2 linked regions of the Schizosaccharomyces pombe genome follow. Changing the gene in region 1 together with any one later gene gives a genetic interaction. Each region holds a gene or a part of one and is shown on either strand. Other genes may lie near its edges. The genes, in order: mug24 and alm1.

The links.
Region 2: mutations in mug24 (region 1) and alm1 are lethal when combined (synthetic lethality), as found in Schizosaccharomyces pombe (one study listed by BioGRID).

Annotation. Positions count from the first base shown.
Region 1 is NC_003421.2:1,915,663-1,924,813, forward strand, and holds mug24 (rrm type RNA-binding protein), read left to right. Parts: upstream 1-3,619; coding exon 3,620-5,584; 3' UTR 5,585-7,071; downstream 7,072-9,151. Other genes in the region: vacuolar phytochelatin and glutathione S-conjugate ABC family transmembrane transporter Hmt1, read right to left, coding at 1-1,560, 1,683-1,880; SNARE-binding protein Sly1, read left to right, coding at 7,535-7,586, 7,650-7,918, 8,020-9,107, 9,150-9,151. UniProt on the Schizosaccharomyces pombe protein: Has a role in meiosis.
Region 2 is NC_003424.3:3,189,930-3,200,615, reverse strand, and holds alm1 (nucleoporin Alm1), read left to right. Parts: upstream 1-3,848; 5' UTR 3,849-3,900; coding exon 3,901-9,084; 3' UTR 9,085-9,169; downstream 9,170-10,686. Other genes in the region: ntr1 (RNA-binding splicing factor), read left to right, coding at 9,825-10,686. UniProt on the Schizosaccharomyces pombe protein: Maintains the proteasome and its anchor cut8 at the nucleus envelope and is required for kinetochore component proteostasis. Proper kinetochore stoichiometry ensures the correct attachment of kinetochores to spindle microtubules during cytokinesis.

The sequences.
Region 1 (9,151 bases):
GAATATTACCTTACCTTGAGTGACTTTAAGATCTGGGGCATTTGGTTTCTCCACCACAGTAGGTTTCTCCTCAAAAATTTCAAGTAGTCTTTCTGTATCGATGATGCTATTTTGCAATGAACGATATAAAGTTCCGAAAAAATTAAGAGGCTGCTGTAGCTGAATCATGTATGTCAAAAGTATGACAAAATCACCGACAGTGTTAAAGCCGAATGTTACTCTATAAGCACTTAATAGACAAGCAATTGCCAAGCTGAATGTAAATATTCCACCTTGAACGATATTTAAAAAATTAAGGCTAAATAGTACCTTCCGCTCTTGCTTAAGATAAATATCCACAGCATGACCGTATCGTTCATTTTCAAAGTCATCTGCATCAAAATTTTTAACGGTTTCGAAATTCATAATCGCGTCATTTTGCACAGCATAACTCTCGCGCCAGCTATTAACCATCTTTCTTCTAGCCTCGGTACGCCAAGATGTAATTTTGACCGTAACGTAACAGTAACAAAGTGTCATAATTAACACAATAAGCGTAAAATAAATGTCAAACTTAATAAAAAAGTATACCATGGCTACTCCCAAATCCAACAAAACAGGCCCAATCTGAAACACAACTTGTTCTGCAAACGTATTCAACGAACTTCCTTTAGTTAAGGCGGTCAAAACCTCACCAGCACGTTTATTCAAATGAAAATCGTATGACAGGTTTAGAACATGTCTCAAAGCCTTAGTTGATATCGCTCTATAAGCATATTGAGAGACAGGAACCCATAAGAAAGATCGAAGAGAACCAATTACTCCCATATTTCCTTGCAAAAAACGATAGATAACGAATAGAATAACATCAGACCAAGGAATTTTCTCACTATGTTTTGTGAGCTTTTCAGTTAACACACCCAGTTGTCGGGGAGCAAGTATGTTAACAGCTCGCCCCAAAAAGAGTAAAACTATGCAAATGAAAATCTGAAACTGAAGTCGGTAATCTTTTGTCGGCCAGAGATAGGGAAGTAAAGTAGAGAAAGAACGGAAATATTCTGCCCAAGATTTATCACTAGGTTTTTTCGATGTTGATTTGAGTGTACCAAAATTCGAGGTTGATGCCGATACACCGAGCTGAACGGTCGAGGGATTTTGAGAGATAGCATTCTCATTAACGTTTGACTCTTCTGTTAATTGACGCTCCTCAAAATCCAGGGGATCGTGCGTATGTCTCTTTCGTCTATAAGTTAGATATATAGCTGTAGCGAAAACACATAAGACCAATCGGGCTACATGGTCCGCCAATACAATTCCTTGAAATGTTTCATTTGGATGAGGACTGTAGACAATGAAAATTGTTTCAAATACAATGTCTATAGCCCAAACGTACAAGACGCTAAGGCGGTAGGCCTTTAGTATGGAATCCGCATTTTTTGGAAGAGCTTTAGAATCTGCGCATGAGATAAGTACAATTATCCAAAATAAAAGGAAGAGAATTAAACAGACAACAGTGGTTTTACAGGGCCACCAATTTGGAACTCGCAATGCGTAGATGACAAGATTGCTGATATCAACGACCTAAAAATGAAATTAGCAATATGAAGCGAGGTTAAACAATTAAACATAAACATTTTTCTTTCAAAATATACTTATATATATATATATATATATTTTTTAAGAAAAATGCTTGAAATACGTACGTAGGTTAATGCAATTCCCAATATCCACCAGGAAATTATTCCTATAGGTTCTTTGCCGAAGCGATTTTTCCTACGATAAGGATCAGAAGTAGCTTTCCTTTTCTGCAGTAAGTTCAAGGACCCAATACTAAAAAATCCGACATATAGAAGGACCAGCTCAAGAATATTGAGGCGTGGGCTGTTGTAACGTAGAACCATTACAAAAAAATCAAAAAAGAAATGCCAGTTTGATTAATAAAACTTTAGGTAAAAGTAACTTGATAATTTTAAATTGTTACTGCTTCAATTGCTAATTTGGTTTGACTGAGGTTAAGTGGTGTAGAGGTTAAGAGTGACAATGGTGAGGTAAGAATACCTCCTATACGGTACCAAACTACCCCACTTACGGAGCCTTTCGAAAGCAGAAAATCAGTATGAATTTTGTATATTTTGTTTCAACTTTTTTTTTTGTTAAGAGTCTTAACCTCCTTACAAGATCGTAGCTTAAGGCATACATCCTTCATCGGCCACGATAGAGGAACAAATAATGTACTTACTTGTATTGAAAGCTTTACAAATTTCAACGGCATAGTAACAACTTGTAAAGGGTCTTCTTAAAATATAGATAAAAGGCGGCTGAACTTGATGTTGACTGGCAATGTTGGGTATACAAATCTAAAATTGATGAGCTTGAATGCAATAACCTAGTATCTGGAACCTTCGAAAAGTTTTAAAGAAACACGTAACAAATCCTTTTTATTTGAAGAGGCTTTCAAGCAAAAGTTACAATATTTAATTGCATAACACACCTTCAAACTCTGACTTTCGCTAACGGCCTAGAAATGATAAACTCATTAAAGACTTCTATTTTTTAAAATTAATATTTTTAATTAATGGTTGAAATATTCAGAAGAACTTCAAATTTAACTACTTTTAACTTACTGACATCGTTATTTTCTTTCCAAATTTTTTTATCAGATCAAGCCTCAACGTACATCATTGTGACAGAATACAGTCTACACCAATTTATGAATAAGCATTAAGTATAGCCCTAGCCGAACTTTTTTACTATCTAACGAAACGCATCACATTATATAATAGGCTTTATGAAGCTAAAACCTTATGAACCACAATGTCGATAACTTCAAAACAGCAACAATCATGCTAGAAGTGGACGGGCAATTTGAAGCATCTAACACAGTATACGTAATTCTTTAACAATATTTTTGAGTACTCTTCGTAAGGTTGATGGTATTGTTGCCTTGGATCAGTATTTGCATTGCTCGGTATAAGGGATATGGGGGATACCTATCTACTCTTAATTTTGCTCTGGCAGTTTAAAAGGCGGGGGAAGGCTGGCTAATCGTAAATCTTGCACCCAAAAAGTCTATTGGCTCTCGAGGTTTTTATTAAAGGTAATTTCAAGGCTTAGAAATGGCTGTCTACCAGCCCTTTATCATGACTGTACTATTCGCGAGGAATTGGTGGTAGTCACTGTGCAGTCATAATAAGAACCGAATAACTTAAAGGGACAACTATGATTGGACGTAAGTAATTTTAACTATTAAGCCTCGCTAAAATAAGTACATTACGTCGACTTTAGCGAAGAGTGGCAGCGGATTTACCGTCGCATTCGTCGTTTGTGGGCCATCCTGACGTTTTAGAGTTGCAACTTTGTGCCTTTTGATTCGTCCTTCTATTTAAGAAATGTGGGACAGCTTTGCGGGGAATGCTTGCGAAAATAGCAATGTTTACATTTGAAATGGTGCTTAGCTGTTACGAAAACTTGACACGATATGATTTTTTTTATCTATAAATAAGTGTCCCTCTCACCAGTTTTGACCATCGAATACAGCATTTAAATCGATACTAATTTTGAAGCGAAACTCATCAGTCTAAAGCACTCTATATTTTGAAGCATCCATATTCTCACTCAATTCTTTTTTTTTAACACTATAATGGCTATTATGCACAAAATTGGCTGTGCCGGAAGTGAAGTTGAGACCGACCGTGTTCTTGAAAAAGACCAAGCAAACAACGGTCACTTCGTTGATAGTGATTGCTGCTTTCAAGAGACAGGAAGTACTGGCACGGCCAACAGCATTTGCACTTTAAATGATTCAGAAGATGATAACAGTAGTCTTAATTCAGTGGACAATAATGAATGTACCAACCTTGACTGTGGTGGTAAAAAGCACAAAAATCTTTCACCTAATCCTTCTTTCCATGTAAACATCAATGCCGCAGAATTTATTCCGAAATCTCATAATGGGTATGCTCCTAAATCAATGAATCCCCCTCCCGAACAACTCGATTCTCCTTGTTATCCTCATTTTGACCAGGACTCTTCTTCAGTCATTTATCCTTCTCCACCTTCAACCTATTACCCCAACATGTATGTTTCAGCAAACACCTTCATACCGATGCCCTATGCCCACTATACCGACAATATGTATCATGCAAAACCTGTAAACCGTCCAAATTTCCTACCTCGAGAAGGTACTCCTCCTCCGTTTGCCCAACAACCTGCGGAGCAATTTTCACCATTCAATTCAGAATACGAATCCTTGTTAGATTTTCGTGCTTTAATCCTTGGTAACTTGCCAGTTGACTACAAAATTTCCGAATTACTTTCGCTTATCCACTCTGGACCATTAGAGAAGATTCAGTCCAACCCTGGAAAACGCAGGATTATAATTACATTTCTTGATTCTGCTGATGCCTTTTTCTTTTATGAAAGGTACCATCCTCGTGGATTCATTTTTCATGGTAGGCCACTCAAATTGACATTTGCTAGACCTTCTCCTTTACCTGAATCGATTCAAAATTTTTGCTCGAACACTGCGGCCAGCCGTAATGTGTTCATCGGCAATCTTCCTTCTTCTTATCACGAGAAGGAAATTGAAGAAGCGTTTGGTAAATTCGGCAAGATTGAGCACATAAAAATCCTCTCGAAAAAGAATATTGCTTTTGTTCACTTTTTGAACATCCGCGACGCAATCAAGGTTGTTCGTACCTTATCTTGCGATCCTGACTATCACTCATGGCGAATATTTTTTGGCTCAGATCGCTGTGCAAATCATCCACCTTCATTTGATGAAAGGTCATGTTTCACTTCCAAGCAAAATCCGGATACCACGTCTGACCGTTGCAGGCAGCAGGAATCAAAAGACAATGGAAACCGTACTGTCTTCCTTGGCAATCTCCATACTAAGACTAAAGGACATGAAATATGCGATCTAATCCGACATGGAGGGTTACAAGACTTCCACTATATTCCTGAAAAACATATATGCTTCGTTACATTTATAACGTATTCGGCCGCCAACGCTTTCCACGACTACTTGGCTGAGGAAGAAGTTTTATTACACGGTCGAAGAATTAAAGTAGGATGGGGTAAAGAAAGTGGACCTTTGCCCAGAGTTTTAGAAGATTCTATATTGATGGGCGCTTCCAGAAATGTTTACTTCAGCCATATATCAGATTCACTTACTACCGAAGAGTTAGAGCTCATACTGCGTCAGTATGGAGAGATTGAATCAATTAAATATTTAAAAAATAGAAGTTCTGGATTCGTTGCCTATACAAATATATCTAATGCCATGAAGGCTGTCAATGGCTTGCCTATACATCCTTTGTTCAAGAAGAGCAAAATCCGCTATGCTCCTGATAGATGCGAACAAGAGCTTCAAAAGTCTAAATCCAACTCTCCTATCCAACAGAATGTTCCATTGCAGCAATTTATTACTCCACCGTTTTCATATCCTGTAGCTTATTGTCCAGCAATTCCTCCAGGTTCGGATCCAATATTAAATTTTGGTATCCAGTATCAGCCCTTTATCCCCTTTACAGCCGTTCCCTCTTTTCCTTTCAACTGCAATGTTCCGAACTATCCTCAAACATCCGACCACGAAAACGACTAGTTCCAATACTCGCGAAGTAACTTTTGTTCATCAGCAAGTCAGTATGTTTCCATTTATTTTTGCTTATTCTCAATTCTACGGGTATTCACTCAGCATGCAAATTTAGTTTGTAACAGAGACTCCCAAAAACTTAACACTAACTCCTCTGAAAAAAACTTGAAAATTGTCCAAACCTAACTAAACATTGCCTTAAAAAAATCTAAAATTCCAAAAAAAATTGAAAAAGAAAAAATTCAGAAAAAAAACTCTTTTTATTCTTGACTCTAATTAAACCTTATTACTGAAAGTTTTTGATTTATCGTTTTTACACGTTTTGATTGTTTCCCACCCAAATTTGAAATTTTTTTGCTTTGTCACATTACTACTCTTCCGTGATTTCCAATGTCTTCTTTTAAATTATGTAATTTTTTGTCTTTAAAGAAAAATTACCTTCAACCTTCTGAGCAGAGTTTTATTCATTCAATGTGTCAATTAGTTTTTCAAACCATTCTTCTATCACTAAGAGAAGCCGGTCTGTGAACTTTTACTTTTCTTACCTATTAAAGATTACTTACTTCTTGCTGATGAATTCATGAACCCTTCTCGATCCGTTACTTCATGGGTAGTTTGTTCATTTACCATTATCCATTTTTTACTATTACCACAATATTTTCCCATTTGCTACTGTTTCCGTTGATGCCGGTTTTAAGCTAACCCACCAGCCAATTTTGCATTTTTCCAGCTTGCTATCATTAAACCAACTATTCTCACTTATACACATTATCATTGTACTATCCACTGACGAATTCTTTACTATTTCTCCCGTTTGATTACAGCTCAGCTTTCCAGAATCATTGTTATTGTTCCTCGTCATGATCACTATTATCCTTTGTTCACAACCAATTAATTGACTATCTTCATTCTATCATTCCATCGACCCCATCACCAGTTCGTTTACCATTTGCTTTCTTGATAGCATTCAGCTTGATCACACTAATTTTATTTTTTTCTTGAGCTTCCATATTTATCGCTTATTCTTGCTTTTACTATTCTAGGATTAACGTACTCACCATTTTCTTTTCTTTCAAAGCTCAATTATTGACGTTACTCCCAACACTTTGCTTACTACCGTTTTTTGTTATCATAATCGTTCTGTCATTTCATTTTGTCATCACTATCCTTGTCCTTATTCCGTTTTTTTTGAGATTTTTGTTTTATCATTATCATTATTCGAGTCCGACACCTTCTTTGTCATATTTTCGGTTTACTTTGCCCAATTCCTTCCATCAATACATTGTTTAATTATATTTTCCATCCATCATTGCTGTTAATTAATTACTATTACGATGATTAGGTCTACGGTATCATTATCATCATAATGATCAATGAATAATTTCATATTTTGTTTAATTCAGTCTAAAAAAATAAACGAAGACATGCCTTCTACTTATTTGATCCCATGAGCAACTTTAGCCATCGTATATGATCCTAGACACTTAGAATATGCAAATCATTAATGGCTAAATTCATAATTAAGAGCTTTTTGCGTTTGGATACTCTTTTAATAATTGTATCTTTATAAGTAAATAGTAAAGTAAGAACACCTCTTAGAAATATATGTAATGTAAGCACAGTTAGAAAGCTGAGATTAAATCTTAGAAAAGTAAACTACTGAACGCAAGATTGATTTCCTTCCTACGCTTTGAATGTTTCCGGTGCACTAGTACTGTTTTTTTAAATATCTAAAAATTTAATGAAAATCAGAAATCTTTAGTAAAGATTGAAGACTACAAGATTTGGTAAAACAGCCAAACCTCAATATTTATTTTGTTGTTTACCTTTTTGAACATTTAGCGAGACTCGCTTCACTGCCATACACCACCATATGAAGGGTATGATTCTTATGTTTATCCCTCAACACAAATCATCCTTCTAAGTGCTTATATTAGTGCCAAAGTTGGAATTGGCACGATGTCTATTGCATCTGTAAAAACACCGTCTTCTTTGAGAGAAGCTCAAATTCGTAAGTAGTGTTGCTAATAAAACTGTATAATTCTCAGTAAGCATTGCTAATATGAACCTTTAGAATCTTTAGAAAAACTGCTTAATTTGAACCAAGACGTCAACGAACTTGAATCAAGCCCTCAACATGCCTCTAATTTTCCCATTTGGAAAGTTTTAATCTTCGATAAGGCAGGGTCGGAGACTATTTCTTCTGTTCTCAGAATTAGTGATCTCAGAAAACATGGCGTTACGGTTCACATGAATATCACTTCGTTTCGTCAGCCTATTGCTGATGTCCCAGCTATTTACTTTGTTCAACCTACTCAAGAAAACATTGAGCTAATAATAGAGGTATGGATTTCTCAGTATCATAATTTTCAATCAATTAATCTTATTGTCGGATACCAAATACTTTTTTGTATTACAGTTCAGCAAGCTAACATATTTTAAAGGATCTTTCGAAGGGTCTTTACGAATCAGCCTATGTCTGTTTTTCATCTACCATTTCTCGTGCTCTTCTGGAACAGTTTGCCGAATTGGCGTCGAAAACAAATACAAGTCACATGATTCATCAAGTGTATGACCAGTATCTTAATTATGTTGTGTTAGAAAGTGATTTTTTTTCTCTTCAACTGCCCAAAATCTTTCATACGTTCCATAACCCGTCTTCAGATGAGGCTCTCATTAATTCACGCGTTCAGGATATTGTAAATGGTCTCTTTTCAGTGATCGTTACACTCGGAACCATTCCTATCATTCGTTGCCCACAAGGATCGGCTGCTGAGATGGTTGCCCAAAAGTTGAATCAACGTCTAAAGGACCATTTAATGAATACCAAGGATGCTTTTGTTTCTGTTAATCCAAAACCAAGGCCAATTCTTATTTTACTGGATAGAACGGTCGATTTGATTCCAATGATAAATCATTCTTGGACTTACCAAGCTTTGATTCATGATACCCTAAATATGCAACTCAATAGGATTACCGTAGAGTCAGTCGATGATGGAAAAATGACAAAGCGGTTTTACGATTTAGATGGAAATGATTTTTTCTGGGAAAGTAATGCTAGCAAACCATTTCCTAAAGTTGCCGAAAACATTGATGAAGAGTTGACTCGATATAAAAATGATGCTAGTGAAATTACCCGAAAATCCGGTGTTTCTTCACTTGAAGAAGTTAATGTTGACGCATTTGCTGATTCGACTTATTTAAAAAGTGCAGTTAGCTTGCTCCCAGAGCTTACAGCTCGTAAACAAATCCTTGACATGCATATGAATATAGCAACTGCATTATTAAAAGCTATTCAAGAGCGCCATTTAGATGACTTTTTTCAGTTAGAAGATAATATAACTGGACTAAACAGAAGTGCCATTCTCGCTTGCATCAATAACAAGGAACAAGGAACTCCCGAAGACAAGCTACGATTTTTTATAATTTGGTATTTAAGTGTTGATTCCGTACCGGCTTCTGATTTGCAGGCATATGAAGAGGCGTTGGTTAACAATGGCTGTACATTAGAAGCATTAAATTTTGTTAAGAGGTATACTGATTGATGTTATTGGTTTTTTCTAACTTATATTAGGG
Region 2 (10,686 bases), on another chromosome or scaffold:
TGTCCGTCACTAAATCATGTTCGTTATAATATATACCTCTAGAGTTTTTTAAATTTGCATTTGATTGACTTTCAGGAAAAGCAGCTTTTATTAAAGCCGAGCGTTGAACACTCAAATTTAATTGGTCTCTCCAATTATCTGTAACGACAAGCCCATGAAAATCTTGGGCTCCAAAACGCATAGAAGACAGTTCCTCCCTGTCCGACTCCTCGCTAATATCCTCAATATCCATATTGTCTGCTGCCAAACTAGCATCAGACTCTTCTACTAGGCTATAAACGGATTCATTAGAAGATTCCGAAGAATTTGATAAGTCATCTTCAGAAAGTGGAACGTTATTTTCCTTCGAGTATCCATCGACTTTTTCGATAGAAATAACCTCGTCGACTTTTTTTGCATTATCGTCATAGTCACCTCTTTCTGAGACATTTGAATCGCTAGAAAAATCAAGTTTGACTTTCTTGGACATAAAAGTATCATCCAAAGGGGCAGAATCATCAACTTTTAGGAAATGGCGGTTCAATTCCTTGTTCTTACTGTCGTTGGGAAATGCACCTGGTGTATGGTGAGTAACAAATGAATCATTTTTTCCCGAAACTTTCAAGTTTGGTTGATCATACTTTTTTAAATTACCTGCTTCATTACTAGTTGATGACATATCGTTTTCTTCCTCTTCATCATCCAGCAAACCGTATCTAGAGAAATGCTGAACCTTGAAGATCCATTTTCCGTCATTAAAGTCAATAAATTCGGTATCTTTAATACGATGAAGTCTCTTTACATGTTGAATGTATCTAGGGTTCTGAGGATCCTTAATAGGCTCTCGAGTCTCTCGAGATAATGGCCAGGTTTTTTCAAGTGTAATTATGGCAGGAACATTAAGGCCTTCACCCAAAGGAGGACTTGATCCCTCAACAGGATATACGGCGCAAATCTTTCTCTCAAAAACAACGACCTTGCCAGGTATGTCTTCAAGCTTTTCGAATCCACTCAAATCGACGGGTTTTAAAAATGCAACTTGGCCATAGCCAGTGCGACCGACAGAGAATTGATGGACAGAACATAATTTTTCTTTAGGATACTTAGAAAGCTCCTCAATTGAGGGTTTCATCCAGTAATCGTCAGATAGAACTACATGTTCGTCTTTCTTTAAAGAGCCATCTGCTTCATTTTGAGGTGCTTTTTCTTGTACTTTTGAGTCTGATTTGGCATCGTTGCCATTTTTCACACCATTTTGCAGGATATCATCTTTGGAGATTTTGTGGGTAATAACCAGCTTTTTTATGTTTTGTCTCGGAGTAAAAGCATCGGCGCTCAGCAACACATCATCGTTAAGCGAATCAAACAGGTGTAGTGATTTCGGTTTACCAGAAGCACTTGTTGAATTCATTACAGCCGATTTGGCAAAAGAGGAAATAGAAGCCAAACGTGCAGTATTATGCGAACGAGGTGACAACCAAAATTGTGGTAGAGAAGCTGCCTTTTTGGGAGTCGGTTTAGAAGTCAACGGTGAAGCTATCGGTTCCTGAATACTAGTTGGTGCAACTTGTGAAGTTGTGCTTGAAAATAAGGGATTATTGCCGTAAGGGTTTTGGTCTATACTGGCCTGTAATGGTTGTTGCTGTTGTCCAGCTTGAGATCCACCAAATAACCCAGTACCAAAATTTGAAGTTTGTGCTTGGTTGTTAGTATTAGAAGCCCCAAATAATCCAGATGTAGTTGTAGATGGTTGTTGAGCAGTTGTGTTACCAAACAAACCACCAGTTGTAGTAGAAGGCTTATTAAACAAACTACCACCGGTATTGGTTGTGTTTGCATTATTGGATCCAAAGAGCCCGGTTCCGGTATTGGAAGTAGCATTATTCGTTTGCGTAGAGCCAAATAAACCGGTACCAGGAGTACTGGAGTTGGCTGATCCAAACATGTTAGAACCCGCAGTGTTCGCATTTCCGAATAAACTTCCGCCAGTGCCGGTAGCATTAGTAGCTGTGTTGGTATTAGCACCGGCTCCTAAACCACCAAACAAACCTGTCCCTGCTGGTTTAGGAGCAGTGGTAGCAGTGGATCCAAAAGCTGGCTTGGGAGCATTATTAGCATTTTGCCCAAAAGAAAAACCTCCGCTGGCAGGAGTAGTGGTCGTGGAACCAAAACCGAATCCAGAAGGCTTAGTGGCTGCATTATTATTGGCACCAAAGGAAAAATTACTACTATTGTTACCACCAAAAGTAGATGTTGGAGCGGTGTTATTATTTGCCGTATTATTATTAGCGCCAAAACCAAACAAACCTGTACCCATGGTACCTGAATTGGGTTGGTTATTCGTGTTGCTTCCAAACCCCCCAGTAGAAGAACCAAATCCCGTACCCGTACCAGTGGCAGCACCACCAAATAAGCCACCCGTAGTTTGACCTGTTCCTGTATTGGTTGCGTTATTTGAACCAAAAAGACCCGTTCCTGTACCAGTATTGGTAGTGTTAGTGGTTGAGCCAAAACCTGAAAAAGCTGGTTTTTGTTGATTAAATGTAGAGCCACCAAAAAGACCGGTTGAAGGAGTTGAGGTGGTATTATTGTTTTGACCAAATAACCCACCGGATGCATTATTTGTTCCAGAACCAAACCCTGTATTGGTAGTGTTACTACCAAATGCAGATCCACCGCCAAAGAGACCGGAACCAGGAGTGGTATTAGTAGCATTCGATGTACCAAACGGTGTTGCATTATTTGTGGTACCTGACAAATTCTGACCAAACGGAGTAGTTGAAGCTCCAAATGCGGGTGTTGAACCAAATGCAGAAGTAGTGTTCGTACTAGAAGCATTGCCAAAACGTCGTCCTTGATTATAGTCTTGTAAACGCAACTCTTCAAATGAATAAGATCTATAAGCGGGCATACAAGTTATAGACTGGAAGACACTAGTACCGTTTGTTTGAGGGTCTTTTTCAGAAGTTACCGCATAAGGTGGGTTAGCTGTACCATTCACAGCGTTTGCATTGCTTGAGACAAATCCAGAGGTTCCGAAAGCGTTGGTCGTAGCGGGTGTAGTGGACGAACCAAACAAGCCACCACCAGTACCTTGCGAACCAAACCTGTATTTCCAGCAGTATTGCCAGCGTTATTTTGAGAACCAAACAAGCCACCACCGGTACCAGTATTCGATGCAGTGTTACCGAACCCTGTTGAACCAGCGTTCGATCCAAAAGAAAATGACGTTCCAGTATTTGCATTGTTGTTGGCGGTATTTGATCCAAAGAGGCCACCACCACTAGGATTTGTGGCGTTGTTCGTGCCTCCAAAAGCAGGAGTATTGGATTGGCCAAACATACCTGTCCCAGAGGACATTCCAAAACCTGTGCCACCAGTCGTGGTAGTGTTGTTTCTATTTCCAAATAGTCCACCGTTCGTATTTGATCCAAACAAGGGTTGAGTAGTGTTCTGCCCAAAGCCAGTTGTAGAAGTGTTTTGGGAACCAAACAAAGTGTTCCCTGGAGTATTGGAGTTGGAACCAAATAACCCACCAGTTTGTTGATTATTTTGACCGAAAGCACCGGTTCCTCCTCCAAATCCGGAAGAATTGTTTTGTCCAAACATCACTAGGATGATATTTGATTAAATAATTAGTAAAGTCACCAAAATTGGTGTTGTGTGGACGACAGGTCCGAATAGTGCACTGCTACTCAAGATACGTTCAAGGCGTGATAGAGAAGAATACAGAAATTTAGCTTTTTTTTTAATACTCACGGTAATTACAATTTTTAAATTTGCTTCATTTGTTTTTCTCAACGTAATTGTCGCATTTCTTCTAACGTGGTATTATTTCTGTACATCGAGGTTGATCACTTACTTCTCGTATACGTACACTGGTGCTTCATAAGTCATCGAACGTTGATTCCAGGCTAGAAAATGTCTTCGGGGGGACTTGAAGATGATATTCAGCTGGTACACGAGTTTTTGGATGTATCTTTTGAGGATATAAAACCCCTGGTGTCTGTCAATGGTTTCGCTGTATTTATATCTGCTATTAAAACCAAGGTTAAAGACATAAACGCTTTAAAGGATCAGCTTGTCCTTCAAGAAGTCAACCATGAGCATAAGGAGAATGTTCTTACGAAGAAGATTAACTTTCTTGAGCAACAACTTCAATCTTCTAATAATCAAGCAGAGGAATCACGTAATCTTATATCGGTATTGAGAAATGAGAACGAATCGCTGAAAACCAACTTGGAGAATCAAAATAAGCGCTTTGATGCATTGACTACTGAGAACCAGTCGCTTAGAAGGGCTAACTCTGAATTACAAGAGCAATCTAAGATTGCTTCTGAGCAGCTTTCAATCGCGAAAGATCAAATCGAAGCCCTACAAAATGAAAATTCACATTTAGGAGAGCAAGTCCAGAGTGCGCATCAAGCATTGTCTGATATTGAAGAAAGAAAGAAACAGCACATGTTTGCTAGCAGTAGCAGTCGTGTCAAGGAAGAGATACTCGTTCAGGAGAAAAGCGCTTTAGTCTCTGATTTGGCTAGTTTGCAATCAGATCATTCGAAAGTTTGCGAAAAATTAGAAGTTTCATCTCGTCAAGTTCAAGATTTGGAGAAAAAGCTTGCTGGGCTTGCCCAACAGAATACAGAGCTTAACGAAAAAATACAGCTTTTTGAGCAAAAGCGGAGCAATTATTCCTCCGATGGGAACATATCAAAAATCCTTGAAACCGACCCCACTTCAATCAAAGAACTTGAAGAAGAAGTGGAAACTCAGAAACGACTTACAGCTCTTTGGGAGTCTAAATCTTCAGAGTTGCAATCAGAGGTTGCTGCACTTCAAGAAAAGCTCACTTCGCAACAAAGTCTATACAATAATGTGACCGAAGAGTTAAATAATAACAAGCAACAGCTATTGATTTCGGAGAATAGTTTGCGGGAACTGCAAGAGAAATATGATAGTGTAGTTAGTGAACTACAAGTGGTTAAAGAAAATAAAAATACCTCTGTTTCAGCTGGTGTAGGTTTGTTTTCTCCTTTGGCGCAAAAGTTAAGCGCCGTTCAAAATCCCGAATTTTCATTTACGAAAGTATATTCGGACAATATGAAACTCCAACAGAAGGTTTCTAGCTTAAAGCTTCAGCTAGACCGCTTGACTAACAAATTCTCCTCATTTTGTGAACAAGTTAAACAAAGGATTCCAGTTGTCAAACAACAGAGGAGTGAAATCGTTAGGAATAACATTTATATGAATTTTCTTAGCGAATCTTTGGAAACATCTAACAACAACCTAACCAAAGTACAAGCAGAGCTTTTATCGACCAAAATGCGCCAAGAAGCTTGTTACTTGCAGCTCACCGCATCTCGTACTCAATGCAGTGATCTTTCTCGAGAAGTTATTTGTCTCATGGCCGAACTTGATCATTTGAATGAAACTAAATCAAGAAACGTTCCCGCTACTGTGCAAGTTGCGCTTGATGAATACGCTCAAAATCCCTCTACTGCATCTGAGACACTAGTAAACAAGGAGCTTGCTAATTTTTCATCTATAAAGGAAGCTGTTTCGAAAACTCTAGAACTGCGGGAAAAAGTGCGGGCCCTTGAATGCGATGTTGAAATCCAAAAGCAAACTGTCCAATATCAAATTTCCAATGCAGTTAAAGAAAATTCAAATACACTTTCAGAGCAAATCAAAAATTTGGAAAGTGAGTTAAATTCGTCAAAAATAAAAAATGAGTCCTTACTTAATGAACGAAATTTACTGAAAGAAATGTTAGCTACTTCTCGAAGCAGTATTTTGTCTCACAATTCTTCCGCGGGCAATATTGATGACAAAATGAAATCCATTGATGAATCTACAAGAGAACTTGAGAAAAATTACGAAGTTTATCGTAACGAAATGACAGCTATTCAGGAATCCTTGTCTAAGCGAAATCAGGATTTGTTGAGTGAGATGGAAGCAATACGTAAAGAGTTAGAAAATTCCAAATATCAGCAGCAGTTATCTACTGATAGATTAACTAATGCTAATAATGACGTTGAAGCCTTTAAAAAGGAAGCCAAGGAGCTTCGTAGTATTAATCAAAATTTACAGGATATAATTAGTCGACAGGATCAGAGAGCCAGTAAATTTGCCGAAGAATTATTACATGTTAACTCACTTGCTGAAAGATTAAAAGGTGAACTAAATGCTTCGAAGGGTGAAAAAGATTTACGGAAAAGGACGCAAGAGCGTTTAATATCTGAAAACGATAAACTTTTGGCTGAGCGCGAGAGACTAATGAGTCTTGTATCAGATCTTCAAACTTTTCTTAACCAGCAACAGCTATCTGATGCTGCTAGAAAAGTAAAATTTGAATCTGAGAAGGAAAGCTTAAGCCTTTCCTTGCAGAAGTTGAAGGAGTCAAATGAAAAGATGAGTAATGATCTTCATTCTCTACAGAAATCTTTGGAAAAGAGCGGAATTGAGTACTCCAGCAGGATTAAGACATTAATGCTCGAAAAACAATCGTTAAGTGAAGACAACAGGAAATTGTTAGATAATCAACAAATGATGGAAATAAAACTCCAAGAATTAAACGGCGTCATTGAACTTGAAAAACAAAGATTTTCTACTTTGGAAGCCAAGTTTACACAGCAAAAAAATACGTCCTATAGCGAAAGGGAAGCTTTGCTAGAATCATCGCTTAGTGACTTGCAATCTAAACATACTTCCTTAGAATCCCAATACAATTATTCTTTAAGGAATATTGAACAGTTACAGGCCGCAAGCAAACTCGCCGAAGAAATGGTTGAAAGAGTTAAAACTGAGTATGATGAGTATCGATTGCAAACTTCAGAGTCCTTGGAAAAAAATCATTTAAAAATCACTTCTCTTGAACAAAGGATAGTTATTCTACAAGATGAGATAGCTTCTTCTTCTTTACGCTGTGAGAATATTACTAAAGATAGCGAAACAAGAGTTGCCTTGCTTTTAGAGGAAAATAAGCATCTTAACAATGAGCTTTCGTCACACCGAAATGCTGAAAAGCAACATTTAGAGAAGGAGAATGATTATAAACAACAGTTGTTGTTGGTAACTGAAGATTTAAGAAAAACTCGTGAAGATTATGAAAAGGAACTTTTAAGACATGCCGATGCTAGATCGACTCTTCAAAAACTGCGCGAGGATTACACGAAGGCATTAGAACAGGTTGAAGATTTGAATAAAGAAATAGCCTTAAAGGCCGGTATAAACGAATCTCAGCCCTTTCCCATTAGTGAAAAAGAAGATCCTTTGAGACAGGAAGTTTATGTCCTCAAAAAGCAAAACGCAATGCTTTTAACCCAACTTCAATCTTCCAATCTCAACTTTGCAGAAATAACTAGCCCATCCCCGGATTTAGATTCTGTTATGAAATTAGGATTATCAGATTTACAGAATCATGTGAAGCGTATATCCAAAGAAATGGAGATTATTTCATGCCAACGACAATTATTATTCCTTGAAAATAAGAAACTCAAGCGAACCGTTGAATCATCGAATCGAGTTATCGCCGATCTGCAAAGAGGTATAACGGAAAAGGATGTTAGCAGTACTTCTGAATCCGTTGGGGAACGTTCAAATTATCTAAACATGGTTGCTTTATTAAATGAGAGCAACAAATCTCTCCGAGAAAATTTAGAAAGGAACGAGGAAGTTATCACAGAGTTAAGAGAGAAAATAGAAACTCTTAAAACTGATTTGGCGAATTTTAGACTTAATAAAGAACAACTAGAATCACAGCTTCAAACAGAGAAAGCAGCTGTAAAAAAGCTTGAAAACAGCAACGAAGAATACAAGCGTCATAACCAAGAAATATTACTATCTTTGAACAGTAGCACATCTACGTCTAGTGATGCTTCACGCTTAAAGAATGAACTTGTTTCCAAAGAAAACTTAATAGAGGAGTTAAATCAAGAAATTGGTCATTTGAAATCTGAATTGGAAACTGTTAAATCAAAAAGCGAAGATTTGGAAAATGAGAGAGCGCAAAACCAATCCAAGATTGAACAATTAGAGTTGAAGAATACAAAACTAGCAGCTGCTTGGCGAACTAAATATGAGCAGGTAGTTAACAAGAGCTTAGAAAAGCACAATCAAATACGTCAACAACTTTCGCAAAAGACTTCTGAATTAGAAGCCAAGGTTGCGGAATGTCATCAGCTCAATGAACAACTCAACAAACCTTCTGCAACCCCCACTGCTACTACACAGTCTGAACCAAGTACGGTGTCACTGGAAGAATTCAATAGCACTAAGGAAGAACTATCTTCTACACAGCGAAAGCTAAGTGAAATTATGGATATCTTAAATACTACGAAGGAGGAGCTTGAGAAGGTCAGACAAAATAGTAATAAATCTGAGGGAACCAGTAAGGATACTGAAATACCCAACGAAGAAGAAATGGAAAGGAAGAAAGTCATGCAACAGGAAGTTTTGAGGTTACGTTCGAGAATTGCAAAAGAGCTACAGAAAAACGAATTACTCAGGAAACAAAATCAGGTTTTACAAGATCAAGTGAAAGCTTTGCAAGAGACAGTTGTGTCATCCGAGGAAGCAGAGTCCGCTTCGGTACATGCTGATACTAAAGATTTGGAAAACTTAAAAAAGACAGAAGAGATGTTATCAGTTACATTTCAAGTAATCTTCAACGAGTCCATATCTGACTTTTCGACTTCCACTGCCGACTTTACTACTTTTGTGCAAAAGGAATGGGAAAAGCGCAGAGAAATTTTACAGAAGGATGTTGAGGAACAAGTTGCTCAGTCGCATCAAAAACAACTAGATAACATCCGAAAAGAACTCGAGATGCGTAACAAGTTGAAGTTGAGCATGCTGGAAAAGAACTTAGCTAGAGTGCGAGCAGAGTTGGAGCAATCGAAGAAAAAAGATAGCCCTGCAATTTTAAGTTTGGAAGCTTCTAAAAACACTGATTCCAATAAAAGCAATTCTGAAGTCCCAGCAGCTCAAGTTAAAGAGAAAAAGTTAATCGCCAAAACTCACTCTGTTGACACTAATTCTCCTCCTAAACGGTCCAGTTCAGACGCTGGTATGGATGTTTCCAATGATGTTAAGAAAGCCAAATAGTAAAATATGAATTTTTTGGTATAATGCCCTTTTTAATGTTTCTTAAGAGTTTGTAAACAGATAATAAAATAGGTTAGCTGCATAATTATTATTTCTGGTTTCCAATAAAAAAAACGACTTTAATTTTATTATAATAAAAAGCTTTGTATTGTAATTTAATATTTTGATATTTTTTGAAGAGCTATAGATATTTTGCGCAACTAATGTCCTTATTCAGATATGTAAGCTACGCAGTTTGGTATCTGATTTAAGGATACGTAGAACTGCGGTGAGTTTTCCTTGTGGTCTATTATATTACAATACACAGGTTGTATAAGTAGCAACTGAGTATAGGTATTGTATTAACTGGGTTATAATGTTACCTATCACTAATATAGCTCATAACTGAACTGAGGAACGAGGTTCAGTTGTAACGGTATTTATAATATTTCTAAATAGTTGTTATCAACGGGTAACTATGTATATAGACGGATAGTTACCCGTGATTATCAATAAACGGATCTTAGCTAGTATTCCAACATATGACATATAGTGATACGCAACGTAGTGTATCATAGCGTAGTGTAGTATTGCTGACAAGATAAAATAAATAATGACGTTTTCGCGTGTTCTTAAGCTTAAGAACGTAACGCGCAAAAACTCATTATATGACATCCATATTTAACCCACTGGAGAACTGACCCAAAATAGAAAATTTCGGTTTTCATTGGTTTTTATTTATATTGAATTCTTGGGTTGATATGCAAAATGAGTATGTCGATATGAATTCATCTTCCGAGGATTCAGATGGTGATTCAATTTTGGAAGAAGGACGTCTTCGTCCATCTTTTCGTGGGCAGCAAAAAGAAAGGGACATGCTAGGAATATTTGGTGAAGAAGATGAAGATGGTTTTCATAACTCGGGGATTGGAAGTGCTAGACTTCGTAGAAAAAACATTTCTTTTGTTGAGAAATCTGAACAAGTTAAAGCAAATAAGCAAGTGACAGCAGATGATTTATTGGAGGCGCATTCAATTCCACAGTTAAAGAATAAAAATGATGAGGTTTCTCAGGCGAAAAATATTCCAAAGATGAAGTTTAATACTACTGGATTTGGCGCAAAAATGTTGGAAAAAATGGGGTATAAACAAGGACAAGGTTTGGGTGCCAATGCTGAGGGTATAGCTGAACCTGTACAATCTAAGCTACGCCCCGAACGTGTCGGATTGGGAGCCGTTCGAGAACGGACCGAAAAGCAAAGGAAAGAGGCAATTGCTCGTGGTGAGATCTCTGATAGTGAAGATGAGAAACATACCGTCAAACAAAAACCTTTAAGAGAAAAAAAGAAGAAACCTTTAAAATCCTCTGAAGAAATTTCAAAGGATATGGGAAGTTATAACTTGCCTAGGTTCTTAGCCAGTCTCATTGATGCTTCCTTAAATGATACTAAGGAAATCGAATTTGTGACTTCAAATAAAGAAGAATTGGGTTTAGAAGGTCGTGATATGTCCACTTCTGGAATTAACCAGCTCTCCAGGCTTGCTCGGGTTGAATGTGAACACCATGCTTCTGCATGGCAACAATTACAAGCCCGTCGCGCCTATGTTAAAATGGAATTAAAGA